Tribolium castaneum: one gene and its partners. The protein of the gene in region 4 interacts with the protein of the main gene of each other region in a pairwise test. Links are inferred from orthologs where the notes say so. Each region holds a gene or a part of one and is shown on either strand. Other genes may lie near its edges. The genes, in order: Dhps, Es2, Git, mitogen-activated protein kinase 1 and Mbs.

Region 1 (4,537 bases), on a different chromosome or scaffold from region 4:
AAACCTTAATTGTCGAAATCATAACAAAAATTAATGAATAAGACAAACCTCTTTGGTTCCTACCTCGCAATAATTACGTATTTCAAAGATTATATTTTTTGTTGGTGACGTTTATTCTTACACAATTATTGTAGTGCTGTTTAATTTTATTCAGTTTGTTACTCGCTGTTGTCACGAAGAGTCGCTCATAAATAAAATCAAAATTTTGCAGTTTAAAAATTTCAATTTGTTTCCTAATACGATTTATTCAGTATTAAAGATTAAATCTGCACTACTTTCATTCTAAAAAAACTACATTAATTCTGTAATATTTTCAACTACTAATTCAGTGGTTCACAGTTCTAATTTCAGTATTGTTAATGTTTTGCTACAGGAAAAAATGCTACAAAGGTAAGTGCATTATTTTTCATCTCCAACAAGATGTTGAACATGTGATATTATGATATATTTTTAATGTCTTGCGCTACAACTGTAGCAGAAAAAGATGCCATAAAGGTAAGTGTATTTTATTCTATTTCTTATTTATTGCCAAGTGAGAAAACTTAATTTCTGTGTTGTACTTTGTATTTCATTTCACAAACAAACAATTTATTTATTTATACATTTTCTAATAATAATCTTTGTTTATCTCAACCTTATTTCCTTTCCTTCCTAACAAGAATGCTTTAGACCTCCACGTGGTTCTTGCTGGACAAAATAATTTGACTAATTATAGCAATCCCTACGTGTAATATGTATTGTTGGTTGCATCTTACAGGTGTAAAATTATGTTCAAACTCCTTGTATTTCCCTACAAGACAAGATTTAATAATGTGCGAAAGCAAGCCAATGCAGATACGGGGGCTGTCGTTAAATGCTTGTTATTTAAAGACACTCAAGGCCACAAAACATACAAATACAGTGCGACCACGATAATCCAAACTAATGTTAATCTATTGAACGCAAGACGTTTAGTGTAGTTAATACATTCTCCCAAAAACTAAAAAAAAAATGAGAAAAAATTGCAAACACAAAATTGTTTTCTGAAAAAGTTCGGATTACCGAAGTCACGAAAAAAAGGGTAATAAAAATTGGAAAAAATCAGTAAGCCGCATACCAGCACCGATAACCCCACACTTACTTTAAAAATAACATGCGTGACGTCCCTCGTGAACTGCTCCCTGATCGTGGCCCCCATCAGCTTCATCACAGCTTTGATGCCTTCAGACTTGTCAACCCCATCCCTATTAACGTCCACGAAAGCCCTCACCCCTTTCAACAGCTCGCCAAAGGGCAGTTTGGGGCCCTTAACCTCATTAGCTGTCTCACTCAAATCCGAAGAATCGGAGGTCGAGTCTTGGTCTTTCTGCTCGAGCATCCTCCTACGCAGCACGGCCGTAGGGCTTTCACAATGAACCCTTCGTTTGACATTTTTTAGAGGCGTTTTTTTCGTTTCTTCCTGGCGTTTGTAGGCTTCGAAGCCACTTTTCTCCTGGACAAGTAACTGCAAGAGTTGGGCTTTTTTGACGGGGTCTTTCATCAAACTGGCGATTATGTCCGACGAGGGAATGTCGCTTTGCGTTGTCGACATGTTTTAAGTTGAAAACACAGACAGGAAACGAGGAAAATCACAAAATATCACATTTTTGACTGTTTACCAAAACACCATCACAGCACACTACGATCCCGCCAAGCGACTTTTAAACAGTGCTACCAACGGGGAACTTATCACCAACTGGGCCAATCCACCACAAATAATTACCAAAATCGCCCCCTAATCACCCCTAACTCTTCTAAAGGCACAAAATGGCATTAAATTATCACGGGATGGGTCGTTCGGTTAAAATTCGCAGCTGGATGTTAGTGACTTTATCCCCAGGCATTGCCACACCTGTGACTAGTGTTAGTTTGATTTGTGGGGTTAGGTGTGGGCATGGCAGCCCCCATTGAAGCCCTAACAGAGGCAGTTTTGCAAAAAACAAAAGACTCGTCGTTTCTTAAAGAAAAAGTGTCAGGTTACGACTGGTCACAGGGCTTGAACTATGACAAACTCCTCAAAAGTTATCTGCACACCGGTTTTCAAGCCACTAATTTTGGACTTGCCGTTGAAGAAATCAACAAAATGATCGAATGTCGCAAAGCCCCAATTCCCGAAGACAGGTACGTCGATAATGAGGACCCCTTTATCGGTGTCAAGAACAACTGTGCGATTTTTTTGGGGTACACCTCAAATATTGTCTCGAGTGGCTTACGCGAGACAATTAAGTTTCTAGTGCAACACAAGTTGGTTGATTGTATTGTTACGACAGCGGGGGGCGTAGAGGAGGACTTTATCAAGTGTATGGCCCCCACGTTTCTGGGGAATTTTGCGTTAGATGGGGTCAACTTAAGGAGTAATGGGATCAATAGAATCGGGAATTTGTTAGTGCCTAATGATAATTATTGCCAATTCGAGAACTGGATTATGCCCCTTCTGGACGAAATGTTAGTTGAACAGAAAGAGGGGGCTTTGTGGAGCCCCAGTAAAGTCATAACTAGGCTAGGTGAAAGGATAAATAACGACGAAAGTATTTATTACTGGGCTGCTAAAAATAAAATCCCTGTTTTTTGCCCGGCTTTGACTGATGGAAGCATAGGCGATATGATGTTTATGCACTCATTCCGAAATCCGGGCCTGGTTTTGGACATTATTTCGGACTTGAGACAGTTAAATTTAATGGCAATGAAGGCAATCAACACCGGGATGATTATAATCGGGGGTGGCGTGGTCAAGCACCACATTTGCAATGCCAATTTAATGGTAATTAAAGTGGCCTGTGATTTTGAAATTAAGTTGGCAACTTTGCCTTCAAACGTCACACTTAGGCCAACTATAGCACCAGTGTTGTCAGCTCAACAAGTGCCAAATCTGAGTTTTTAACTCAAAAAAATGTAAAAATAACGTCTGTCTAGTTATGTAATTGTTTTTTTTATTTGCGTACTTATGGCTTGTTTTTATCGAGATTTTGGAACAACGTGCTAGAATACTAAAAAAATGCAAAACTAACATAATTTTGTAGTTTTTGGCTTGTTTTGACGAAATACATTTTCATTTTATTGAATTTTCTACAAAATATTCGGGGAAGTGCTCAGTTTTTAAAAAGTAATTATTGTAATCCCAGTTACCGCAGATTTTTTTTATTTCTAATAAATTCGGGGTTGCCAACTTAATTTCAAAGTGACAGCCCACTTGATCAAAGAATTTAATCGAAAATTTCAGCGAAATGGTGCCGATTTTTGCGTGTTTCTGAACACAGCCTCCGAGTTTGACGGCAGTGACTCGGGGGCCCGCCCCGACGAGGCCAAATCCTGGGGCAAAATAAAAAAAGAAGCCACTCCTGTGAAAATCTACGCCGAAGCCAGCTTGATTTTCCCACTTTTGGTGGCCCAAACTTTCGCAAAGGAGGTCCAAATCAAAGACAAATAGAAACTTTATAATTTTATTAATAAAATAATTTCACTGCTTATGAAAAGTATAAAATTGACTTAAATGGAAGTTCGGAGTGCCGTTAATGTTCCAGTTCAAATTCCAAAGCCTTTGGCCTTGAAATTTAGTTGGCAACAGTAACTGGCAAGTTCAGCGTGTTGCCAACTTAATTTCAAAGTTAACTGCATGGTACAGAACGGCGTAAGATGCTTTGGGCAATTTACAGTACCTGTCATGATATTTGCTAACCTAAAAACACTTAATATTTGTAATATATCACGGTATAATTGATAAATGCTTAAGATAATAATTAAAACTGATGACGTGATGTTGGAGTTTTACTCGTTAGGAACAGAATCCCAAGACACGTTTTACGTAATCGAGGGTGTGTTTGAAGCACAGCCTCCTTGATAGATTACCGATACTTTGGCAAAAATGCTCAAGGTGGCTGTGGGGGAGAATTAGTACGAAATGGCAACTAGATCAGTTTGAGCTTGAGATAAAATCAAATGGCAACTTGATTGTTCTTAATTCTTTTGTTTCGATAATTCGACAGCTTTCGATAAAATAATCTGTACATCCATGGGTGGGAAGTTTTGTAATAATTTGAGATTGGAGGGAAAGTCGCCATTTAACAACTTGTTCCTTAAAATACTGAAACTTTTCGTTAAATTTTTTTCTTGGAAATCAACTTACACAATCATGGCGCAACAAACATAGATCAGGAAATCAAAACGTGACTCATCTGAGAACAGGGTGTCCCATATCCTGAGCACGTCAGGCAGGGGGAATTCCTGCGATAGCAACAGCGTAATCCACCTAAAAATTCCCTTTTTTGACACTAAAAACTAAGTTAAAAAGTTTGACATTTGTCAAAAATGACAACTTTTACGATATCTAGGTTTACAGTACTAGCTATTTTCATGTCTTTAAATGCGATAATTGCTATTGCTTAGTAATGTCATTAGAAAATCAAGTGAGTAAGTAGTAAAATGTTGACATATTCACCAGTTATGTAAATAGTAAATTGAAATCAAAGAAGGCTATGAAAATTATCTCAATGTCAAAATTTTTAACATGGTTTTGTCGGTT
Region 2 (5,015 bases), on a different chromosome or scaffold from region 4:
ACTACGGTTTTACATGCCCATCAGAGGTAAAACTAAAGGTACAAGAAACAGCAGCAAAAACTCAGTGTTAGTAGTTTATTTTCTGGTGCACGCATTAGCTGTTAAATGACTTTTGAATAAAAAAAATAACAAAGAAAACGTTTAAAAAAATAAAGCTAAAATAAACACGAACGTTTTGCCAAAATTTTGACTTCATTTGTTTATTCATTTTTTGGTTCCAAAATAAATTTGTTTAGTTTTAAAAACTTGTTTTTACCTTATTTGCGTTTATTTTTTGAATTATACAAGCAAACCAAATTTTTGATAAATACTTAAACATTTATTGAGAACGGATATTGTGTAACAATTTGGCTCTTGGCATGTTTAGGGCAACTAAGCAACGTAAACCGCAACTCAACCATCGAAAACACCCGCCGTCACATCGGCAAAGGGGTCCACCTATACTACGTCAACGGCGAAGTTTACGCCGAATGTCTCTCCGATTCGCCAATTTTCGTCCAATCCCGCAACTGTAACCACCACCATGGGTTTCACCCATCCGCCGTGTGTAAAATCCCGGCTGGTTGTTCGTTGCGTATTTTCAACAACGCCGAATTTGCTCAACTCCTCTCCCAATGCGTGAATCATGGTTTTGAGGCCGTTTACGAACTCACAAAAATGTGTATGATACGTATGAGCTTCGTCAAGGGTTGGGGCGCGGAATACCATCGTCAGGACGTCACAAGCACCCCCTGCTGGATCGAGGTGCATCTCAACGGCCCCCTCCAGTGGCTCGACAAGGTGCTGACCCAAATGGGGTCCCCTCACAATGCCATAAGTTCGGTCTCGTAATCGGTAATAACACGGGACGTATGAGTGCCATTTCAGGTTATGCAAATGCAACGGTGGGAAATTACGTGTTGCCTTACGGTAAAGTGCATTTTTCAGCATCGACGAATGATTATTTATGTGTACAGGAAACCGAGCTGAAAACTTGTAAATTCTGGATGTAATTATAACGAATTATTAATTATAATGTGTCTGTCTTAATTGATCTCTAGATGGCTACGATTTTATTGGTTTGTTGGTTATTTACAGTTTAATTCACAGACAGCGTTTTTAAATATTGTTTGACTTTATTTTATTGTTTTGGTGGGGCCTTCTTGCAAAAAATGACAGCATTTTAAGTTTAGCAAGAATGTGCCGCCCTGTATATTAAAAAAAAATTAAAAACTTTCTCAAGCATCAATGCAGGTCGCTGATATACCGGGTGATCAAGAATGCTTGTTTCGGTTGGCAACGGTGTGACATTTGACGCGATAAGATTTTTGGTTATGTCCTTATTGCCAACTGAAAAATCTTTTTTCTTAATTATTTTTCGAGCTGGTTTCGACAAAATTTCTACGTTTGTACTTAATTCCTGCAGTGATCCTCGAGGAAGATTTGCCTTTGGCTGAACAACTGGTTCGGTGGTACAAATACGAGTGTAATAGAATCATAAAGAATATTTTGTGCAATTAATAAACTCCGTTAGCCGTAAGGATAAAATAAGTGTATTTGTAAGTAAAATATAAATCAAAATATTGTCCATTTTACATAAGTTAAAGAGTTATTGTTACATTACAAGTTTTTTATAGTTGTGTATTCAATTTCTTGTTTGTTTTATCAACGATAAAAAGGTTGGGTGGCAGCACCAGCTGTCGAAGTGTATATTTTTGAGATATTATCCATATTTACTATACCACGAAAAGTACACCTTTTTATATTGTCAGTGCAATTTTTTATTTTCGTTTTAAATAAAATTGTGGATTACTGTCTCGTTTTTTGGTAATAAGAAACGTTACCCTGTGCTTAGGATTGGCTACGTCTGCTTGTGTATCGATTTGTGTATGTGTTAACATAATGTGCCAAAAAATTGTAATCGTTGTCGCCGGCTTGAATGAAGAAAAGCTTATCGGACTCATGTTAGCATAACCAATTAATATTTAGTCTTCAAGTAAAGTGAAATTGAATAAAAATCGTGCAATGAAAAGTTCAACTCCAAAGCATTCAATTTATTGGCTAAACAATTCAAATTTGGCGCCCGTTTATTTAGTGTGGAAAGTTGCCGATAGGGGCACCACAAATTTTGGAGGTTAGTTTCTCTAATTAATTAATAATGTGCGATTTTATATTAAATTGATAAAAAAAATTGTTTTAACCGCAACTCACGATTACGCTTGCATTAATGATTGATTAATCATTAATTAACGAATTTTGAAAGTGACAGTTTGTTGTGACGTTTCGTTGACAGCTAACCTAAAAGTTATCACAGTGTGGAAAATCACTTAAAAATGGGTGAAAACGTGGAAAATACACCCGGGCGGCAGGCAATTGCCGTGATGAAAGACATCCAGAAGGAAATTATTTTCAAAAAACCGGTGGGAACGCCTCGGAAACGAGTCAAAGAGAAGGTTTTAGATGAAGACACTTATGTGGAGGTAATTTGTTTATTTACCTTTTTGCGGATTTGAAACTCACCAGAATTGTTGTTTAGCACATTGGTAAGATTATCCAGCGCGACTTTTTCCCCGATCTTGAAAAACTCAAAGCCCAGAACGAATATTTGGAAGCCGTTGAGAGAAACGATGTGACCAAAATGAGGCAACTTTATATGAAATATAGCGGGAATAGACCGCCAACACAGAGGAGTAAGTGGTAAATTTTTACTTTAGCTACTTCTGGATTTTTGCAAATTTTTTTTTTGCATTTTGCTTTAAAAAGCCTCTAGATCAAAGATATGACCATGAAAGTTTGTGCAAATGCCCCGTTTTCGAAAAATTCGACTTTGAATGACCTTGACGTAGACTTTTTAAATTATTAACACTCTAATAAATGATATTAACCGTAAATGTAACTATAAATGAGGCAAGGCGTCTACAGATGATAGCCCGCAGGCTGGGGCTTCGCCCCAGCGACCTAAAAATAAACATACCCCACGGACGATTAAACTCGAAAATGTTGAACTCGAAACGTGGAATAGTGGTTTTTATGGAACTATGTTGCGCGTGGCTGGGGCTTCGCCCCAGTTAACTAAAAGGAAACATACCCCACGACCAATTAAACTCGAAAACGTGGAACTCGACACGTGGAATAGTGTTTTTTATGGAGCTAGGGTGCCGTACAGTTCGTGGCCGGAGGCTGGGGCTGCGCCCCAGTTAACTAAAAGGAAATATACACCACGATTGGTAAATTAACCTCGAGAACGTAGCACTCACAAAAAAATACCTTGTTCACCACTAGTAAGTAAAATAGTAATGGAGTGGTGTTGTTGGTAAATTGCGTGAAGGGAAATGCGGGAATGCAACAACGCATCCCCACTTCCGTCAATCAGCCAATCAGAGCACAGAGACATAAATTCAAATTGCAAAATATGAAAAAATACACCTACTTTTTAATGAAAAAGGTGTAATACGTCATTTAAATTCATTCTGGGAATACCCGAAGGTGTTATAATCATAACAAACACGCAGGTGCGATTCTTACCTGTTGAAGCTAAACAATAACAGCCAATCAGAAATAAGCACACGCAACGCATGCACACCCTGGTGGCAAACGTTGTATCCCTTAAAATCAACAAAAATGGCGATTCAAGTGAAATGAGTGAAAATAAAAATTATTTTTCTAATGTTATTTTCAATTTGCACAAGAAAATTCATAGTGTACGGTCATCAGGGCACTCAGAGGAATCGTTTGGCGTAAGTTTCAGCTTGAAAATCCAGAAGTAGTTAAAGTAAAAAATTACCGAGTAAGTGTGTAAAAAAGTGTGTTTTGTGTATTAATTGCATTCTAGTACCAAGCCCTGCGACTTTTGAGACACCTGTCCACAATTCGTTTGAGACTGAAGCCCCGCCAAAGCCACCCCCTGAGAAAAGCGAACCGAAATTGAGTTTGGATCAGTTTTTGAATTCGCACACGTCTGAGGACAATCGCAGTTTTAGTGAGATTTTGGCCGAATCTGAGAAAAAGCACCAGGAGAAGTATTCGTTTTTATACAAGGAGGAGGGCAACAGTGAGAAGGAGCGACAGGAACAGTTGGCTTTGCCCTCAATTGTGAAACAGGGGGAATTACCGGAAAAAAAACTAAACGTGGACACTTGGAGCTACAAAAATAAAAACTACATAATGTACATTCCTGACGGGGTTCCCCTGACACAAGAAGAAGAAATGGAATTGAACAAAAACCGGCAAGAAGTCGTCCACTGTAACACCCGCCTCACCATCAACCCTTTCAACGAAATCCAAAGCAAGGAGGCTATCACCGAACTGGCCAAAAACCAGGCGAAAATCCACGACGGTAAAATCGGCGTTGACGGCAAAGAACTGATGAAAGACAGCCCCCAGATCAGGGGCTTCTCCTTCGTGAAGACCCCCTCGCCCCACCCGAACCTCACCGACACCCCCTTGATGACGTGGGGCGAAATCGAGGGAACCCCCTTTCGACTGGACGGCAGCGATACGCCCCTGCCCCATTCGCAAGGCCCCTCGTTTAAAATGTCGGAGCCCCCACGTCGTGAACAGCTCGCCATAGCTTTGGCTGAGAAAGTCGGAGAGAAGAATCGAGACAGGAAACAGAAGGCTATGGAGGCGGCGCGAAGGCGGTTTGCGACGCCGTCCCCGAGGACGGAAAGATTGGCAACCATGTCGCCGGCGGCGAGACGATTTGCCACCTCCAGGTTGGGTTTAAGGGGTGATTTTATGACGCCCAGTCCGAAAATAAGGGCCACTCCGGGGACTCCCAAGAGGATGGTTACGCCTAAACTGAATCTGGGGATCAAGAAAATCGATAATTTGACCGATGATTTGTTGAAGATTAGTGTGCCGAAGAGGCACAAAGCCGCCGATTTTTTCTAATTGGAGATTGTTTATTTTTGGTTAATAAATATTTGTTAAAACTGGTAATTTGTTTTTATTGGCTTCCCCAAGTCCTAGAATAATTAAAATTGGTCTAGTTGGAATTTAGTGGCAAATGTTTTAATAAAAATGAAATTAACTTT
Region 3 (5,070 bases), about 2.7 Mb from region 4:
CAACATCACCGTTCGATATTATCGGTTGTAGCGAACTAAACTCATCGCCGTTAATACTGTTATTGGTCTCTGGAACTTTGCACTGGGACAAACGCGTTTTCAGTTCGATATTTTCGCACTTCAAACTCTCGACGTGCGCTTTTAATTGATTCACTTCCGCTTTGAGATCACAGATGGTGCTGTCCGACGCCTTCAATTGTTTTGTGAGCTGTTCGACGGTGTCGGTTTGTGGTTTTTCGTTTTCTTGAATTGGCGGCAATGCGTAATCTTCGTCAGGTGCCACAGAGTCGTAAAGCGGATCGTCGTCCGAAACGGGCGAATATTCACGAAGGTGCGTTCGATTGGGGCCTAATTAGGGGAATTACTACAGTGTTACCAACTGTGTTTGATTATTACCTGTCTCGGATAACAACTGGCGTCTTTGTGTGTCAATTAAGATATCAAAAACTAGACTTTTTAATTCAGGAGTTGAAAAACGGGCCAATTTTTGACGACCTTGATTTCGCGGTTTTGACATTGTTGAGTCCACGGGAAGGAAAGGGACCACGTTTAGATCAATTGCGTCCACGCAACTCAACCAAACTATAAACAGTTTTTGTTATTACTTACAAAACAACAATGTGTTATCTAAACTACGAAGGAATATAACGTAGGAGACGAAACGAGATACAAAAACGCTGGATTTTCTGAACTCAAAAAAATAGTACGGCAGAGTAAAAATGAGGGCGCGTTTTAATTAAATTAAAATCCAACCAATTTACTAATTACTTGGAAAAAATACAGAAATGTTGAGCTTTGCACTCTTAACAGTCTGAGAAAAACTGGCGACTAAAAGTTTCATAAGATATTTGAAAAAAAATACAGGGTGAATCAATACTGGGCTATTTCTAACATGTCCTAAGATAAAAATACTACATAATTGCACTTCCCACTTGTATACTTTATTTGATTTTTAAAAACATTAATTGAATCAACATTGGTTTTTTATCTTTATACAGTTAAATATTATAAGAACTATTCATCAAAACTTATTAAAATTTGTTATATGTTTAAGACTATATAAATTGTATAGTTTCAAATGTTTATTAAATTTCAATCTCCATTTGTTCTTCAGATACAAGGCTAACTTGTTTTTCTTAAATAGCAACAAGGGTCAAATTTAATATTTTTGAGAAGAGCATTTTTTCTGGGTTCTATGGTATAACACTTGCATACCTTGTTTTAATCAAAACTTTAAAAAAACATCGAAAATTTTGAAAAATGTAAAATTTTATTAGCCTTGGAAATGTTGTCTTTATCTATTGTTAGCTCATTAACTAAAAAATAAGTAAAAGTTGAAAATAATTGTTAAAATAACACTTTTAACTGAAAAAAACACGTTTTATTTAAGAAATTTTAAACACTGAATACTTGATTTTTATGCTACAAACAATATTCAAACTGATTTCCACTAACTTCTTGGCTTTCTGTCTCCACGAATTTTTTTACATTTTAATAAAAGTAAAGGTCATATATCATATTACATTATTGAATTCAGAAAAAAAATGCTCTTTTAAAATTGATTAAATTTGACCTTTTGTGCCATATAAAAAAAATCAAATTAGCCTCGTATTTTCAAAATAAATGAGGATAAAAATTTGAAAAAGCTCTCAGATGATAGAATTTAAACACTTTTAATTGTTTCCCAAATTTCAAGGTTTTCTGTTAAACCGTTCTGAAAATATTTAATTGTATCCATACTTTTTAGCGACTCTGTATAATAATAGTCCATAATGAAATTTTAGCAAAATGTCACGACAGACCAATCTGGTCAGGTGGATAGTAATATTGGTTGCATGTTTAAAAAATTTTAGAAGTAACCCACTATTGACTTACCCTGTATTTAAAATTTGCGCTTCGTCCCGTATTTTACTTACTAATATTTTTCTTGCATCTGTAACCGAATCGCAGCGTTTTGAAAAATATAGAACCGAGTGCAAATTGGTAAATGTTAAAAAAAATTAAAAATAGTTTACGATAAAACTTTTGCATTATGTTTATGTCTTACTATTGAGAATTTAATGTTTGTTTGCCTTGTGCTAACCGTTATGCTAATACAACATTTTTTAATTCATTGCTCTGAAAATTTAGAACAACTGCGCTCTCTGTCGCCATTAACGGAACTATCGAGGACGGTACCGTTTTATTTGTAGATTTGTAGATCGTTTCGTATCCTAACCTTTAGATATCCGTAATCTAAACCAATAGTTGGCACTTACCAACTTCCTCAAACTTAATCAATAGCAAAAAAGAATGACACTGATTAGATAAGTAGGCTATTTCTCAAATGTTTTTTGTTACTTACTTGCTTCTGTTTCCCGCCTGTCAATTTCATCATACACGTCCATGGCTAACTGTTCAAAGAGCGCATTTTTCATCTAAAAACTGAATTATAGCAACTTTTACCAATCAGTAAAATCACACCTTTTGCAACTTTGTGAGGGAATTAGGATTTGATTCAAAGCCGCCTTGTGGCAAAATAAAATGTATGCCATTTTGGTGATCCGGCCTCTTGTGAGTCAAATACTGTATGAACGCATCCGTAACTTCATATTGACTTTCTATTAATCTGTTCAACAAATCTTTATTGACATTTTTCCTGAAACATGGATAAAAAATGTATAAACAGATGATGTCATGAGTGGATATTTACTTTGCATAATCGATGGGTGTTTTGCCGTGGGCATCTGGGAATGTTGGATCAGCACCGTAAACTAACAAAAGTTCCACTTGTAACTTCTGCTCAGTTTTAGCGGCTATATGTAGGGGTGTGGTGCCCCTTTCCTAAAATTTCATTTGTAAAAACTATCAATTGGTAGTGATATTTTACATCGTGAAAATAATTCGGATCAGCTCCTTGCACAAGTAACCGGAACGAAGTCTCCAAATTTGGTGTCCTCACGCTAGCGTGCAGCTGCTTCCCCAGCTCATTTTCAAGCCCCTCGTCATAGGTGGCGTTGTCGCGGAACGTATAAGCGCACTGCAGGTGCTTCGCCTTAATAAACTCGCTCTTGACACTGAAATTACACTTTATACAAGTAGTCTCAAACGTGAGCCCCACCTGATGGCATCTTTGGGATTGGGCTTCTTTTTCATCAATTTCCCGTTGTTCTCCAGAAGATTGTGCTCCCATATGCTGTTAGCCCCGTTATTATTCAACGTACACACCATCTGCAAGTCAGAATTAGTCATTTGTTAATTGGAGAGATAAATGAACTGACAGCTAATTGGTTCGGGTTCCAACTGCCCTTTTGGAGCGACTTCACTTGTGAGATGTGCCGCCCGAGACTGCGGTGTATGCTGCAGCATTGCGTACAGAGCAGAATGCCCTTATTTATGGAAGCCCAAGTCGCATCTGCAATTAATTGGGAATTAATGAATTTAAACTTGACGGATGTGACTCACCAGGGGCACCACAGTCGCCACAAATTTCGACATTCTGGCGCGACTTAACGCGAGACATCGCCACAAACGAGTGTTTATGTTACGCCACTATCACCAATTAGTGTTAAAATATAAACAAACAAATGTTTGATTAATAATATTTGTTACGCCATGTTGGAGGGTTTTCTTGTCAAATGTCACCGTGTGGTACAGTTTCCTGTAATCGGCCCAAAAAAATAATTTTTGATAAAAAACAAACGTTTAGAGACGAATTTCTAAATTTCGTTGCGTTCGTTTTACAATAATTTACAGTCTTGTGTTATTCCGAAGCCGAAAATCTACACATTTTGAAGTAAGAACACAAATTGTCAGTCAGCTTTGCCAACCTAACCAGAGTTAGGTTAAATTGTCAGTGATAATTTTCAATTGTAATTAATTGTTATCGGTAATAAATTGCCGCTTTTATCTAATTTCCGTGACAATGATAAGTTTGTAAATCCCCAATTTGTTACAAAAGTAAAAAACGAAATGGATTATTTAACGGAGGGCATAGCCCTGGGTGTAGATCTCGTGATCTTGGCGGCATGTATCAAGCAGTACTACAAGAACAAGAATGCCATGGCTATGATCCAGGTAATGGCATGATTTGTGTGAGTTTGACTAAATTATAAATTTCAGGGGGCCCCCTATCTCACCATCAATAAAGACTTGAAAGAAATAGTTGAGACACATCCAGAGAAAAAACTGTCATACGTATCCATAAGGGGAACTGTTAAACCACTAGGTAGGCCTATTGTCAGCAGCAATAATCCAAATGTAACAGGCGTTGTGCAATTATTACGAATTAAGGAGCATGTAATCCAGCGGAGTACGACAGGATTTTGGTCGGACTCCGAACGTGTTGTGCAGGAAGTCCACAATGTTATGCCTTTTTCCATTGGCAATAAGGCGGTGTTTGTGGAAGTTGCGGACCCGTTAGCTGCTGACGTCTTAGGTGGGTTTCAAGGTTTATTTAACTTTTTTAAATCACACGTGTCTAGATATGGATACGATATCGGACGTCTTCAATCCGACTGTTCCGAGTGTCATGGACCACATCTGGGGCTTCTTTGCCGGGATCAGGCAACGGGGGGTCCAGTCGACTGAGAAAATGTTAAGGGAGGGCACCACTATTACGGGGATTGGGGAGTTGGTTTATTCACAAGATTCCAGCATGTTGCGGCTGCAGCCCCCATCAAACGGGGCCCCCTTTTATTTAACAAATATGCAAGTCACGTCGCTGGTTAAAAAGTTAGACGGCTCTAAACGAAATTACAAGTTACTGTGTATATTATTCGGAACAATCGGTTTAGTTATTGGGGGTTTCATAATTCGGAAATATTTGCGCCATAAAGACAGACAATTGGAGGAAAGTAAGCGGAAACAACAACTGGAAGAATCAAGACGGAAGAGGCGGCGACAAATGCGTGATCAAAATTTACCAGAGAACCAAATCTGCGTCGTTTGTAAAAATAACCCAATTGAGGTAAGTTGTTAAAAAAATATATTTGGAAAACTTTTTGACGTCCTTGACTTGCAATAAAATGTAACGACGAAAGGAGCAACTTCCTTAGAAGGTTTTAAATAAAATGACGAGTTGCAACGTTT
Region 4 (4,349 bases):
TTAATAACTATTTTATATTTTTATAAACCTTGGTAAATTGCGACGTTGGCGTTTACATAGTTTTGAAACAGCTAATAGAAACTGACGAAGAATGCGAGCTTTTTCATTTAATGTTTCTGACAACAATGTCATTAGTATGTCACAATCCTTATGACTTTGTTTGCAAAAACGCAAACTTACCTTATATAAACTTGTGAAAGGTTTTTGTGATTAAAATACGTTAGGATATTATTACTGCTGAACTGCTGACTCGCATTAAAGCAGAAAGAAATATTTTGACCAAAAAAAAAAACAGAAAATTATGTCCGAAATTTTTGACGATAAATTCTGGGTTTGAAAAATATGTCAAAAGAAAATATTCTTACGTGACTAAAATTTTAGGATAACTTTTAAATCAAAATAAGTAAGCGTCAAATTTTTAAATCAGCTCTAAAATGTGTTATTTTTGTAAATTCGGAAACAATTTTAAATGAAAGATTTCTCTACTAAATTAGAAATGTTTTGCAAAAATATAGTTTGTTGCTCTTGTATTGGCGTTTTTTAACCGGAAATTTACAATGAATTTGAAAAAAAAAATGTATGAATACTTAAACCCAGTATTAATAAATAATAAAAAAAGAACATTCAGTCACTACCTCACAAGTCAGTTTGTATTTCATTTTAAGTATTTGTAACCGAGTTTAAACTGGTTAAAAAGTCGATTTAATTTGTTGTTCTGGTAAAAAAACTGTAAGTTCAAATTGTTTGAAAAAAATATGGTGACTTTCTAAGAACCTTAGCAACAATATACATAAGTTTGAAAAAAAATTGTTAGTCATTTAAAAATAAAATGAAAAAACCTCAATTTTAGCCATTTTATTTTTTCATTAAAAAATTGTATTATGTTTTTTGATAATTTTTTGTATAGTTCTTGTATATGACTTACTTGTAATACTATATTTTTTTCATGTCATTTGAACTCTAGGTTTTTCCATAAAAACATTAAGATTATTACGCTATTTACCCCGTTATAACTTGGTTACAAATATTTAGATCGAGATAATAACCGATCTGTGAGGTAATAAGTGAACCTAGGAACATTATCCAATTTAAAAAAACGGTTTTGTGTGTTATTTTTCTTAAAAATTGAGTTTCAAATTTGTGCATTCGCATGCCCACCTGGACGGTGAGTCGAGTATAGTTCAACCTTAATTCGTAACCAAGCACTGAAATACGCTAAACCAGAAAATAAGTTGGTAACCAGAATTATTTAGTTTAGCGGTCAATTGAAATACTGGGCATTATAAAAACATAATATTTTAACGATAAACACACAAAATTTGAAAGACTTTGTTTTTAATTTGGGAGCATTTTTTAATGAAAAACTAACTAAAAAAAAAACAACAAAAACTAATATATCATTGGATTTGATTGTTTTAATAAATTTAAAACATTTTTATGTATATATGCACGAGAAATTCACTAAATTCGAAAGATTTAGCCAAACGAAAAATCGCTAAAATAAATCTGAAACACATTATACCTTCTAAAATTGTAGGTTGACTTAAATATTAGTTAAATCAGATCTAAAATTTGTTATTTTTTATGAATTTAGGAATATTTTTATTTTAAACACTTGCAAAAGTAAGTCGGAAATTTGTTACTTGCACTTGTTTTGCCGTTTTTTTTTACAGAAACTCGAAAAGTTCTGTTGAAAGATTGAAGATAAAGATCGTTATATAAATTTGCTTCTTCCGTCCGATTTTTTCTAGCGTTTGTCATTAGAAACTCATTAAATTCAACCAATTTGGCCAAAATGTAGTACAAGCAGATCACCAAACTATGAAATGTATGTGACTTTCTATTTATTAAGGAATATTGTATATACAGGCTGTATCAGAAATACGTGTCTTAATTTTAACAGGTAACAGAGCTTAACAAATAAAACATGTTTTCTATTTGTAATTTTTCAATAAAAAATTCGTAAATTTTCTTAAAATTTAGAAAAAAATAACATACTGAAAACGTGTACCCGCCTATAGGTAGAACAATAAAAGAGCCGAACTATTTTTGTTGTGATAGAAACGGACAATTTAAACAATTTGAAACAACAATGAAAATTGTTGCTATAAATACAAACTAATTATTAAACACTGATCGGCTCGTTTGTACAAAAGAAGGGAGGAAAACAGTGAAAATTATAACTAATTTTGCAAAATGTTACATAGAAAAGTTGTCGTATTTGATGAGTTTTATTACGTGTTTACATTAACACACGTATTTCTGATACACCCTGTATTTCAACGATATACTTAACAAAATTTGAAGGATTTTGTCAATACAGAGTGGAAGTTTGTGAAACTAGGTCTGAAGTGTGTTATTTGCTGTGAATTTGGGATCGTTTTTCATTGAAAAGCTCACAAAATTAGAAGAAAATTTTAAAAGCAAAAAAAACAAAGTAAAGTAACTCATTTTTCATTTCTTGTTATTGGCGGTTTTAGAATTATACCTACTTTTGTATTTTTATATATTAAGAACATATAGTTCTTAAAAGTGACATTGCGGATATTTGCAAATATATTTTTTTGATTTCAGCGCCTGAAAATCTATAAAAAATTATAACTTTTATATAAGGTATATAAATCGTGTAAAATTAGATCAGTGCGTGTAAACTAGTGATATTAATTGAGCTTTTTAGTTGACTGTAAAAGCTCGCAACTTTTAACATTTTGAAGTCACTGTTTGTCAAATAACATTATTAAATGTACTTAAAAATGAGAAATGAGAATATGTAGAAATAAAGACCAACTTCTGCCTGTTTTTTTGGGCTACAAAGCATTTAATTTGTCTAAAAATGTATAAGTATAAACAATTTCACTCATCACATTCATTTGCATATTGTCTATAGTATTACTTTAAATAAATAATAAAGAAATTTATTTTGTAGCAAAAAATATTACTAGCGCACTTGCAATTTCCAACAAACATAATTCTCTAGATATTAACATTAATTATAGTAATTATGTTTGTACTTGTTGATATTTACGTGATAATTAGGTAATGCTAATTATATTAATCAGTCCACCAGTTAATGCGTGAAAATTAATTTAATTGTTAATTGTTTGATACGGCTCACAAAGGAAAAAAGAAGTCTGTAATGTAATCATTTTGAATTGATATTCTTCCGAAGTTGATTAAATTTAAACAAATTTGTGCCACCTTTCTAACCAGCCTCTGCCGACTTTCCCCTAATAAGTGGAACGTATTTGCAAATTCACAATTTTTCCACCAAAATCCAATCTCGCTTGTAAATGACATTTCATTTTAATACAGTTGGATTTGTTTCGTTGTGCTTGGAAGTTTGAATTGTTGAGGAACTGGAAAGCTCGTTAATTAGACGGAGCAGTTGTCATATCTTCCCATGATTTAATTTTTTTTGAAGTGGAATGTAATTCTTGTTACAGATCAGCACTGGATACCGCCACAAATACAAAAGTTGCGATTAAGAAAATATCCCCTTTCGAGCATCAAACTTATTGCCAGAGGACTCTCAGAGAAATTAAAATACTCACAAGGTTTAAACACGAAAATGTAAGTATTTTCCTATGTTGCATTGGTGGTAAAATTTCATTAAGTTGATGTTATTTGGAAAAAACTACCGAATCATCCATCACTTTCACGCGACGCGTTTTAACATTTTTTATTATGATTAAATTGTCATGGCACCTTGCGAATGGTGGTCGCATTTGTCGACTCGCTACAAAGTTTGTTTTTTCATAAATATATGACAATTTTCGGTGTTTGAGTGAAGGCTGCGTAAAATTGGAAAATTTCAATTTCCTTGTTTTATTACAAAAAGTGCTACTCTTCTTTTTCCTTTTCTTGAATATTGGAGTTAAATTTGTGTACCTATTTGACCGAAATCGATCGCAACGCTGTCGCTAGGGATTTGCTGATGTTATGGAGAGATACGGAAGAACTCAGCTAATGAATAATTATTGAATAAGTTGAAATCCTCGTTACTTATTTATCAGTCCTCGCCTAATCTTCGACAGATTTAAGCCCAAATCGTGACTATCTCACAGGAGTTGGGAATGGTTTTCGGAATTAAAACGCTGGAAAATGTAAAAAGAGAACGAGAAAACTTGAATACGTATTTAAAATCCCTGCAAAAGTTTTTTTGTAATAAGGTTAAAAGAGCTCAGTGTGATGTGGGTCCGATGTGATTGACATTGTTGAGGGTTGACAAAATCGTTGCTATAAATAAATCAGGTGGTGCATCAGAATGACTACAGTTAGTGTAGTATTATTATTGATTAACTTTACATACACTTGATAAATCATGATAAGCATAGAATAAATAATTCAGA
Region 5 (4,962 bases), on a different chromosome or scaffold from region 4:
TTACACATTTAATGCCAACAAAAACTATTCTTATCATTTCAATGTTATTTTTAATTCCGCCGTAAACCCGTCATTATAAATTTCGCAAAAAAACTCACGTCAATTCCGACCTAATTTCATCATTTTTTGACAAAAAATAAAAAAAATAAGCGAGTTTCATTCTTAATAACATTTTAAATCTAACAAAAAAAAAAAGAAAATCATTTCATTTTTGACCTTAACTTGTGATTTTTTGGTCCGTTTTAACGAAATTATGCTAAATAAGATTTTTGTCTGAAAGAAAATCATCTGAAAAGGACAAAAGTTCCGAATTTTAGATTTACGTGAACAATGAACTTTTACCTTAAAAACACAAAAAAATATTAGTTTTTCATTTATAAAATGAGCTAAGCCTGCCATTTCACATCATTTTCGACTTCAAAAAAAATTACCATAAAAAATTAAAACTTCGCAAAATAAGTGAGTTTTTAGCACAAATAAGATCATTTTCTACGTAATTACTGATAAGGTAATTTTTCGTCCTTCTTACAAAACTTGGCTTTTATGATTACTTAGTCTTGGTGTTTATTTAGATGTGAAGTAACGAAGTAAGCTGATATATTAATTTTCCGATAAAATACAAAAGAACACATAAAACAGTTAAGATATGCGCACAGACGTCACCAAAACCCTTGAAACATTCAACAATTGTGTTACTTTTGACTACAATTAACTACACCCTCTTACCATGCGATACGACTTGCGGAAATCATCATGGCCGTGGCCATGTCCCCTGGAGCCCGAATACCGATCGCTGGAGCCCCCATATTTGGACCTCGAGTCAAAAGAGTCTGAAAACGATGAATCGAAGTTCCTGCCACCGCCTCGGCTATGATAACCGCCTCGTCCGCCGCCCCATGAACCACGTCCCGAACCCCCACGATACCCACGTGGAGAATACCCCCGACCACGTGTCATGGCCGCTGTTTGACTGTAACTGGAAAAAAAACACAACCGAAACTCAAAAATTGTACAAAACTTACGAGTACTTCGAATTCGAAAAAACGCCACGCATTCTTACCTGGGCTTGTAATAACTCATGGTTTACTGAAACCAAAATATACTTCAATTAAACTGGAAGTAATGGAAAAAGTGCGCCGAATTTTTAATCTCTAATGGTGGGTTTAAACAATTTGAGTGGTCCAAATTTACTTACCGAACCAGGGTATTGGCGAAATTACACAACGGGACGTGTGATAACACTGTTTTTATGTGTGTAGGTGAAAAATAAAGATAATTTTTTATGAAAATAAAAACCAGCAACAAATACCGGCTAGGACGCTTACGACAATGGCGTCTGACAAATGGCGGTGAACAATTTCCGGTAAAAATTGCTTTCAAGGACGCTCACGAGGGGCGCTCACATTGTAATAAAACTCTGTTTTTGCATACGATTTTTGCATTGTGTTTAATCAATTGCATGGTTTTGTGTTTTTCTATTGCTATTTGTTATGTATTTTGTGTTTTTGTAATTTAACAATTAAAATTAACTGTTATTTTTGTGGCGGTTTTCTGTTTTTGTTAGTGTTTAGAGCATGGCGGGAGATGTCGCGGTAAAATTCATTATCGCCAACCGCACCCTCTGTCAAACAGCAACCGAGTGAACTTTGAGGTGTTTGGTGAGGAGTGGGTAATGGTGGCCGTTGTGAAAAGTGTTAAATAACCATGTCTTTAGAGACCCGTTCGAATTCGGCCCTTTTCAAAAGGGCCGAGCAATTGAAACGTTGGGAGGACTCGGACACGAATCGCGAGCCGGTTTATCCGAAACAAACCTCGCGGAAAATCAAATTTTCGTCGGGTTGTGTGTTCCTTGCAGCGTGCGCCGCGGGTGATAAAGATGAAGTCTTGAGACTTTTGGAAAACGGTGCCGACATAAACACTGCCAATGTCGATGGTCTTACGGCCCTCCACCAGGTAATTGTACCATCGAAACCATGTCCACCTGTGGCCCTGGTACCCCATTTCCCAGTGACGTAAAACCCGTGTCAACATGGCTACTACAGCTGAGAAGCCAAAAAATTCACTATTTTTGAACAAATATCGTTATTTCCGATAAAAAATTGACACAGATAAACCCGTGTTTGCTCCCAAGGCGGAAGAACCGTTGCTCCAATGAATGGATGAGATAAAAACGCTCTGGGAAATTGTTATAATTATTTACTATGTTTATAATAACACCAACTTCCAAACAGTGTTATTAAGATGATTACAAAGAAATCATTAAAAATATTATTAAGATTACGCTATTACTTAACAGAGCATAACTCGTTTAAATACAAGTTTTTATATTGTTTATTTACTCATTTTTTTGGGGCAAAAAACGCTAAATTTTATTTCCCGGACATAATTTTTTACGTTTTATCATGTAACTGTTACCTAAAAAATGATGTACCCAATTTCTGACACAATTTATGAGTTCATGTTGTAAAATTATGGTTTGTAGACTCAACGTGAGTCAGGTAACACAACTTTACTTGGATATTATTCCAAATAAATCGCTATAAAATGAGCAAGTAGGTGTCAACCGTAATAAAGATCGTCTTCAGTGAGGGCTTTTATTTTTACTGTTATTTCTAATTCGAGAAGTATTTCGGATATTTTCAGACAAACATAAAAATAAATTGCATTCATTCATTGAAAAACCTATTATTGTCGATAATTCCTTGACGAAAAAGACGAATTACTGTGTTTTTTTTATTAGTCTGCTTTTTAGTTAAATGAAAATGTTAATGGTCTTAACATTGGCATCACTAATCACTAGCAAATACAATCTTAATGAAAAAGGGCAGTTCTAGGTTTTTGTTTTATTTTTAAAGAAAATTTATTAAAGAGATAATATAGCAATTAAATAAGGTTGTTTAGAAAGGAGAAGAGAATAAAAGAATTTTGAAACTAAAACTGGGAACAACTTACAACATCCATCAATTTTGAGCCAGTTTCAAGTAAATTTAAATTTTTGTAGAAAGAAGCTCATATTTGCTCCATTTACATGCAGTCTTGTATCAATATCATTGAATTCTGCCTTTAAACGATGACAACGCTTTCAAAAGACATTAAAAAACGGACACATGAAAGAATTGCCATTACAAGAAAATTCGTTTAAAATGTTTTTATTGTTACAGATTCAGGTAAATAGGGTAGACCCGTGTTGATCCATTTGTGCATTTAATGGCATTTGAGTAAAACACAAAGCGGTGTAATAATGGTCTAGTTTTTACAGCTAATTTAATTGCTTGTCTTGTAATTATGTAATAATAAAATAGTGTTTGCTGTAATAATTACCGATTATGAAAGTTTATTTTTGGTCCGAATTTTAAGATTATATTAATAGAAGACCTTCAAAACATAAGGCTCCACTAAATTTAAAATGAATCAAGTGGGGCAATTATTGATATATTTTTTGTCTTACGTAAAGCAGCGTCTTTCGATTGATTTTGTGTGTGTGTGTGTGTAATTTTTCATGTCAGGCGGCTTTCTATTGTTAAAAGGAAAAGGTTTATTGTTTCGATATTAAGTAAATTGTAAATATTATGATTTGTTCCATTACTTTGATGTTATTTCTGAACTTGTGTGTTCATCAATTAGAAGGTGAATATACTCGGTGTAACCCTCCCATAGTTGTGTCATGGTTATTTCAAGAAATTACACCAGGGTGTAGTTTCACGTTTTTAACATTTATCTTAGATACATAGCTCGGCATTGAGCAAATATGTGACAATAAAGTCGATGGTTATTATTTGAACTAATCCGATAAGGAATTAACTAAATAGGATGAGTCAAGCCGTACAGACAGAGTAGCTCGTTCTTTCTCGTCGGTAATGAATAATGTGGGCATTCAATTTATCAGTCGACTGGTTCGTATCGTTTTTGTTGAATTTAATTTGCACGAGATATCCAGCGGCCGAGCCCATTGATGCAATCCTTTTGTCTTCACTTGATATTTTTAAGTATGTTTTATGCAGGTTTAGGTTTCCATATATGGCATAATCGTGTCGAGTTGTGTCGTAAGTCTTGGCGAATTTCTACACGCCGTAAAACTTGTCAAAATTATTAGATTGGCGAGGTTTTTAAATGATGACTTGAACGATCAGTTTGAGATCATAAAGGGTCTGTGACAATCTTGCATTTGGGGCTTACTTACTGTGTACTTGTTACACTTGTAAAGCCCCGGGAAGGTCTGAGATGTGTCTTTAATGCTCCAGAAGGGCGCTTGCATTTTGCAAGGCGAGAACACCAGAAATCTGCGATGAGGTTTCAAAGCCAAGGATTCGCTCTGGCGATAGGTGGTGGAGCTTTATCGTTGGAATTTCTCGTGACCGGCTGTTTTAGTTCAATTTGCGGGCTAGTGTTTTACTAGAACTCAATTCAGACTAATCTGTTACAGACCCGTCTGTTGACTCACGATCGATGCCTGATAAAAACCTCCTTTAATATTTCTGTTTGGTTTTTTATGTGATGATTTTGACTCGGGGTTGACTGAGGTATGGCATAATCTCGCATTTGGGGCTCACATACAGTGTATTAGTTACACAACTAACAGCCTCGGGAAGGTCTGAGAAAACCCGATAACGTTCTAGCAGGATGCTTGTATTTGGCAAGGCGAGAACACCAGAAATACGCGAAAAAGTTTTTTAGCCAAGGATTGACTTTGCGCATAGGCGATGGAACTTTTCCGTTGGAATTTTTTGTGGGTAGCGATTTTAGTTTAATTTGCGAGCTAGAGCGTTACTAGAACTCAATTCAGACTAATCTGTGCCATACCTCCCAAGTCCTCTGGTGTTTTTTCTGATAAAAAACCAATTTAATACATTATTTTGGCCGACGAGCTCGTACAATGTGCAGTTGTTGCAATCTTATTTTTGTTTTGGTCGAGTCAATGACCTTTGTGGTTTTTGCCGTGGAATCACTCATGCCAAAATCCTT

What was found.
Region 1: the proteins of mitogen-activated protein kinase 1 (region 4) and Dhps interact in a two-hybrid assay, tested with the Caenorhabditis elegans proteins (2 studies listed by BioGRID). The link is inferred for Tribolium castaneum from reciprocal best matches to the Caenorhabditis elegans genes mpk-1 and dhps-1.
Region 2: the proteins of mitogen-activated protein kinase 1 (region 4) and Es2 interact in a two-hybrid assay, tested with the Caenorhabditis elegans proteins (3 studies listed by BioGRID). The link is inferred for Tribolium castaneum from reciprocal best matches to the Caenorhabditis elegans genes mpk-1 and ess-2.
Region 3: the proteins of mitogen-activated protein kinase 1 (region 4) and Git interact in a two-hybrid assay, tested with the Caenorhabditis elegans proteins (3 studies listed by BioGRID). The link is inferred for Tribolium castaneum from reciprocal best matches to the Caenorhabditis elegans genes mpk-1 and git-1.
Region 5: the proteins of mitogen-activated protein kinase 1 (region 4) and Mbs interact in a two-hybrid assay, tested with the Caenorhabditis elegans proteins (3 studies listed by BioGRID). The link is inferred for Tribolium castaneum from reciprocal best matches to the Caenorhabditis elegans genes mpk-1 and mel-11.

What each region holds. Positions count from the first base shown.
Region 1 is NC_087394.1:3,355,597-3,360,133, reverse strand, and holds Dhps (probable deoxyhypusine synthase), read left to right. Parts: upstream 1-1,780; 5' UTR 1,781-1,912; coding exon 1,913-2,779; intron 2,780-3,238; coding exon 3,239-3,445; 3' UTR 3,446-3,773; downstream 3,774-4,537. Other genes in the region: MCPH1 (microcephalin), read right to left, coding at 1,121-1,570; TBC1 domain family member 13, read right to left, coding at 3,973-4,099, 4,142-4,264. UniProt on the Caenorhabditis elegans protein: Catalyzes the NAD-dependent oxidative cleavage of spermidine and the subsequent transfer of the butylamine moiety of spermidine to the epsilon-amino group of a critical lysine residue of the eIF-5A precursor protein to form the intermediate deoxyhypusine residue.
Region 2 is NC_087401.1:9,414,447-9,419,461, forward strand, and holds Es2 (splicing factor ESS-2 homolog), read left to right. Parts: upstream 1-1,942; 5' UTR 1,943-2,312; coding exon 2,313-2,459; intron 2,460-2,515; coding exon 2,516-2,669; intron 2,670-3,811; coding exon 3,812-4,872; 3' UTR 4,873-4,916; downstream 4,917-5,015. Other genes in the region: protein mothers against dpp, read left to right, coding at 368-831. UniProt on the Caenorhabditis elegans protein: Regulates pre-mRNA splicing.
Region 3 is NC_087395.1:18,435,294-18,440,363, reverse strand, and holds the start of Git (ARF GTPase-activating protein Git), read right to left. Parts: upstream 3,650-5,070; 5' UTR 3,503-3,649; coding exon 3,445-3,502; intron 3,395-3,444; coding exon 3,261-3,394; intron 3,211-3,260; coding exon 3,101-3,210; intron 3,057-3,100; coding exon 2,870-3,056; intron 2,824-2,869; coding exon 2,693-2,823; intron 2,639-2,692; coding exon 2,464-2,638; intron 2,418-2,463; coding exon 2,345-2,417; intron 583-2,344; coding exon 397-582; intron 349-396; coding exon 1-348. Other genes in the region: Mul1 (mitochondrial E3 ubiquitin protein ligase 1), read left to right, coding at 3,952-4,056, 4,102-4,417, 4,464-4,948.
Region 4 is NC_087395.1:21,096,981-21,101,329, reverse strand, and holds part of mitogen-activated protein kinase 1, read left to right. Parts: intron 1-3,443; coding exon 3,444-3,570; intron 3,571-4,349. UniProt on the Caenorhabditis elegans protein: Functions in let-60 Ras signaling pathway; acts downstream of lin-45 raf kinase, but before the lin-1 gene product in controlling vulval cell differentiation. Plays a negative role in proximal germline proliferation in the mitotic zone.
Region 5 is NC_087394.1:37,236,539-37,241,500, forward strand, and holds the start of Mbs (protein phosphatase 1 regulatory subunit 12B), read left to right. Parts: upstream 1-1,617; 5' UTR 1,618-1,704; coding exon 1,705-1,953; intron 1,954-4,962. Other genes in the region: uncharacterized protein DDB_G0286299, read right to left, coding at 727-976, 1,029-1,054.